Linked DNA regions of Daphnia pulex. The protein of the gene in region 2 binds, or shares a complex with, the protein of the main gene of each other region. Links are inferred from orthologs where the notes say so. Each region holds a gene or a part of one and is shown on either strand. Other genes may lie near its edges. The genes, in order: ragulator complex protein LAMTOR2-like and ragulator complex protein LAMTOR5 homolog.

Region 1 (2,827 bases), about 5.2 Mb from region 2:
GAACAACCCTTTGCAGAGATCCAAAGTCTTTTTTCTTCAGACTCTGTCAAGAAGACAACAATCTTGCCTCAGATAAAGTATTACTTTATATAACCTCAATTTTAACTTGAAAATTATGCTCTTTATTTTAAACTAGGATGAAACAGGTGCCTTCATGATTGATCGGGACCCTACTTATTTTTCACCAATATTAAACTTCTTGAGACATAGCAAACTAGTTATTGATAAAAACTTGGCTGAAGAAGGAATCCTAGAGGAAGCTGAATTCTATAATATTACTGAACTCATCCAGTTAATTAGAGATAAAATAAGACTAAGAGATGAGGTACCACAGAAGGAAAGTAGGAAGCAAGTTTACCGTGTATTACAGTGTCATGAGGATGAATTAACTCAAATGGTTTCAACTATGTCTGATGGATGGAAATTTGAGCAGGTGTGTACACACAAGACAATCTTATTAGTTACTACAGACTATTTATTCTAATCTTTTTTTTATATAGCTAATAAATGTTGGGTCACAGTACTCTTATGGGAATGAAGACCATTCAGAATTCCTGTGTGTTGTATCAAGAGAGTGTGACAAGAGAGAAAGAGAAACAGAGCCTACTGATAGAGCCAAAGTAAGTATCTGCAATTTACTATTGATGGAAGCATTTAAAAATGTTGTTTCTTTATTTAGGTGCTTCAGCAGAAAGGGTTAAGAATGTAATAAGCTATGGGATTTTTGTACCAGGAACCAAATACTGAACTAAATTTATGCAGAGAACCAGCCTTGTGGGATTTTATCCACGTTGCAGCCATTTTGACACTTCTTGTTCACAAGTGTTGCTTTTTATTCACAAGTGCAATACAACTCTGCTTCACAGCTTCATTAAATTTTAGGAGATCCAAATTTGTATTATAAAAAAATGTTCATGATGCTGCTACTTGACGAAGAGGAGAATCAAGATAGTCTGCCAATGCCTTTGCTTTAGCATGAAGCATTCCAAAACACACATTTTCTTTAGCATAGAGACATAGAAGTAAATTAGCAACTTGGGCAATCACCACTTTCCCATCCTTTAAAGGCATTGGCAAAATTAATATTTGTGTTTACTAAACTTTAAATTGAATAATACCATGCAATCAAGAAGAACACATTCCAGGACATCTTCATTGAAGGCAACTTTCCCATTTTTAGCATATGCTGACCAAATGTTGCTAGCTATCGCTGCTGTCACTCGTGCATCCTTGTCCCCATAACCACTTGAAAGCCACAAAATTGTTTAAACACTATAAACAAATGTAAAACATTTTAACACATTTTGCTCACCTGTAAGCTAGCAACGCCCCCTCCGTATTTAAAAGCCTGCATAACAAATTAAGATAATAAATAAATAAAAATAACTAACAATCGTTAACTATTTTAAGGTATCACGCCATATTACAAAGTGCTTAAGATTCCGCCAGTGTTTGCTTGAGACAAGACTTGAGTAAGAGCTTTTGGTTTTAACATTCTTTAGATTTGTTGGTATCTTCTGTTTTGACACAAGCTGAGTCAGGGCTGAGTACAGCTGTTCAGTGTTCACTACTCCTCTTAGTCTCTTACTAAAAAAAAAAAAAACAAATGAATGCGGATGTTTCCTACATAACCAGGCCAGGCTGACAATCTCTTCTTCAGGCAGCGGCAGCGGCAGCGCCCCTTCCGTTGACCAGGGAATTTTTTCTCACTCAATCTTGTCAAATTCTTCTGCTGTAGGTGGCCTTAATGTATTCATTTCAGATTGGTCCAAAGGTGAATTTCGCGCCCGATTATTTTGACTTTGGTGTTTAATTACAATCATGATTACAATGAACTAAAGTTGCTTCTTGAAGTCAGAAATCATGCCGCCTCAAAAACCTTTGACTCATTTTTTTAAACCTCTTCAAAGTGGAGGTGTGAAGCGTACATTCTCAGAACTTGTGTCTGGCAATAAGACAGCTGAAGCCAAGAATGTTCAAATTGAAAACAAAGTAGGTTTTTTTGTTCTGTGTATACATGCCTGGTATTTTTTGTAAAGTCTATTCATTTTTAGCCTGTTGGAGAAAAATCTGGTGAGAAGACTGAAGTAGTTACTCCTGAAAAAAAAGAAAGAATGGGCACTAACCACTTGTTAGCGAAAATAAAATTGCAAGCGAAGAATACTTGTGCCTTACACCATAGTATTGGTCATTCATGGTTTCAAGCAATTGAGCCAGAGTTTAAGAAACCCTACTTTGGTGAAGTATGTACATGTTTCTTTTTTTTTAACTTTGAATAACAATTATTTTCATTTACCTACATTATTTTGTTTTTAGCTTAGTAAATTTCTGGGTTCTGAAAGATCAAAGTCCACCATTTTCCCTCCAGAACATCTTGTGTGGTCTTGGACCCATTTCTGTGATATTCAAAATATCAAAGTTGTTATTATTGGTCAAGATCCATATCACGGTCCTGGTCAAGCTCATGGTATAGTAAAAAATAATTACTTTTATGGCTTTTAAGATAAAGAATTGACATTACATTTTTGTTTCATAAAAAGGTTTGTGTTTCAGTGTTTTGAAAGGAGTTCCTCCTCCCCCAAGGTAATATTTAAAATTTTTACTTTAAAAACTACTGTGTCTAATTTTTGCAAAACTATTTGAAGTTTGGTAAACATCTTTAAAGAGCTGGCTTCAGATATTGATGGTTTTAATATTCCTAAACATGGTAATCTCACTGGATGGGCCAAACAAGGTAGACATTTAAACAAAATCAATCACAGTTTAACGTTTGTCTTAATCTTCAAATAAGAGTCACGTAAAATTGTTATATTGATATTTCACATAT
Region 2 (2,550 bases):
GGTAAGTCTTTAACAGTTATTTTGAAAACGGTTAAGATGTAATTTTTCATCATGGTTCTTGTTGCTTATTTAGATTGACCAAAAAATAATCGCTGCACGACAAGAAAGACAGCAACTGCTGCGCGATCGAGAAGAGCTGGTTCATTCACTCGAGAGCTATCATAATCAAGCAAAGAAGAAAGAAATGGAAAATAAAGCTAAACAGTTTCAAACGAAAGTAGATCTTCAGGCTCAAATTGATCACAAACAGCAAAGAGAAGAAGAGTTTAATCATCTGGAACGGCAGAAGCGCAAACACCAAGAGCTCATGGAAGCTGCTCACAACGAAAAACATTGGAATATAGCCATGGACAAATTGAGACTTTAAAGCGTAAAGTTGACGCACATTTCTTGTCATCAAAATGATTCATATCTCGGCTCTAATTTTCTCGTAATTTTTAAATGTTTACAAAATGTGTATTTTTAAGTTACAGCTTATGTCATTCTATCACAGCTATTTTTCGTACTTTTTCGTATTTCAGGAAATATATGGAGCGATCGCAGAATGCCAGTTTATTTCTTATTGTCAGTGTCTAAATCGTGAATTCCTCTGCTCCCGATCAGTGCTATATTTGGATGAAAGTAGCGGATTACAGTAGAGAAAAATTTGTTCATGAAAAATAATTGAAGCTATTATTAGATTTCTACAAAATAACATGGATATACTTCCTGCTTTTGTTCAGTAAACGTGGAACGCGCATTGCAAAGGAGAAACAGTGGAATTTTCCCTTGTGAATCCGTATCGGTATCACAACATCGCGATATGTTTTACCCTGGTTTGTCTCCCAAAGCAAATTAAATCTGAATCCCAATTTTTCTCTGTTTGCTATCAATTATTAACGCGCTGCGCGCTACCCTCAGAAGTCTTACCAAATCATCCATGCCAAATCATTCGAGCTGCTAAATCCTGCCACCTAGCGCTACCATCCAAATTCTGGCCAAAATAAAAAACTAAAAAAAGTAATGTTATAATAAATTAATAAGATACTACTAAATTTCTTTTCACATTATTGTTTTTTTTTCTACGTTTTAAAAAATCCAAATCTAATGTTTTACAATGAAATAACAGAAATTGCAATAAACAGCTGCAGTTGACAGGCCTTGAGGTGAGTCAGTTTGACTACATTGTTTTGACTCTCTGTCTCTGACAGGCTTCCCAAGTTCCACTTCCTTTTCTACTGTGGCAGACTGTAGATGGTTAATAGGTGCTAGCAAAATAAATCAACAAGATTTTGTTAGCCTGTCGGTTTCTGTTTCTGATATCCTTCAGTTAGTTCCTGTTTATACAAAATACCATTGCTATTATGGATAAAGAAGTTCAAAAATGTGTTGAAGAATTGTAAGTAAATCAGAAATCGTTACATTTAAAAAACCGATTGGAACATAAAATTGTGTCGATTTAGGATGACTTCGCCTGGAGTAGTGGGCGTATTGTGTGCAGACAGACAGGGCATGTGCTTAACGTGTAAGACAAAAGCTTCTTTTTTGAAACACAATTGTTTTTTTATAAATATGAACACATTGTTTATAATATAGCACAAGGTGTTGCCAATTCAAACTACTCCGGCTCATTGACTTCTCTGTCACATTTGGCAACAACATTAGAGCCTGGGAAAGGAGATCCTGTCATTTTGTTTGAAAACCATGAAAGGTATGGTAACAATGTCTTTCTATGTTATTTTTATTTTCTAAGTGCTGATTTATTTTTAACTTTTTCTGTTTCTGCAGTCAGTGTTTGATTCATCAGAATATGGGAATGACTCTTGCCGTCTACAAAACCAATACATAAATGCAAAAAATCTGAGAAATCTAAGTTTTTGTGTAGATATACAAATAGGTTCTCATATATTCTTTATTTTTCTTAGCATTCAAACTTTAAGCCACATGATAAAAAAAATAAATAAGAACCTTTGGTATACGCCTTCGGTTCAAAATTTGTGCTTTAGCTGCAGTGGTGTGCTCGATTTCGTTTGTTTCTGTTTATTTTTTAAAAGATGTGGGCCTATTTTGTGTTACAAATAGTAATTTCCTAATGCAATGGGAAGAAAAAGTGAAAATATATCATTGTGTACATATCAGAAATTCTAGAAATTTTCATGAGCGTATACGTCGTAAACAGCAGAAATTTTTAACTGCGCTATACCTAATTACCTGTAGCTTTTTTTTACAGATTGCCTTTTTTTTTTTTTTTTTCAAGGTTTTTTAAAAATAAACGATCCGCGGTTATCCCAGCCTATGGGGGGGATCCTTATCCGTATAGTTCATTTTCAGGAATCTGGAAAGGGAGTTGAGAAATAAAGAATAGATATCCAATGCAGAATCGCAAGACGATTAATTATTGCCTGACCGAACTCCGCCTGTCTGGGAAATAGTCTGGGAAATATTATGAAAATAAAATTTTTAAAAGTTGACTTCTTGGACGATGCATCACTTTTCTCCATTCTTACCGTACCACAGAATAAATAAAAACTAAAGAGTGATGACCTGAAAAACTAGGAGAGCAAAACACGT

Evidence for each region.
Region 1: ragulator complex protein LAMTOR5 homolog (region 2) and ragulator complex protein LAMTOR2-like share a complex: the UniProt entries of both Homo sapiens proteins name them as parts of the ragulator complex. The link is inferred for Daphnia pulex from reciprocal best matches to the Homo sapiens genes LAMTOR5 and LAMTOR2.

Annotation. Positions count from the first base shown.
Region 1 is NC_060023.1:11,050,570-11,053,396, reverse strand, and holds ragulator complex protein LAMTOR2-like, read right to left. Parts: upstream 1,608-2,827; 5' UTR 1,496-1,607; coding exon 1,428-1,495; intron 1,349-1,427; coding exon 1,313-1,348; intron 1,246-1,312; coding exon 1,119-1,245; intron 1,060-1,118; coding exon 913-1,059; 3' UTR 816-912; downstream 1-815. Other genes in the region: BTB/POZ domain-containing protein KCTD5-like, read left to right, coding at 1-77, 137-433, 501-620, 680-709; uracil-DNA glycosylase-like, read left to right, coding at 1,864-1,992, 2,055-2,243, 2,317-2,467, 2,541-2,583, 2,646-2,734. UniProt on the Homo sapiens protein: As part of the Ragulator complex it is involved in amino acid sensing and activation of mTORC1, a signaling complex promoting cell growth in response to growth factors, energy levels, and amino acids.
Region 2 is NC_060023.1:5,836,681-5,839,230, forward strand, and holds ragulator complex protein LAMTOR5 homolog, read left to right. Parts: upstream 1-1,162; 5' UTR 1,163-1,343; coding exon 1,344-1,378; intron 1,379-1,442; coding exon 1,443-1,504; intron 1,505-1,575; coding exon 1,576-1,690; intron 1,691-1,767; coding exon 1,768-1,828; 3' UTR 1,829-1,840; downstream 1,841-2,550. Other genes in the region: trichoplein keratin filament-binding protein-like, read left to right, coding at 1-1, 74-367. UniProt on the Homo sapiens protein: As part of the Ragulator complex it is involved in amino acid sensing and activation of mTORC1, a signaling complex promoting cell growth in response to growth factors, energy levels, and amino acids.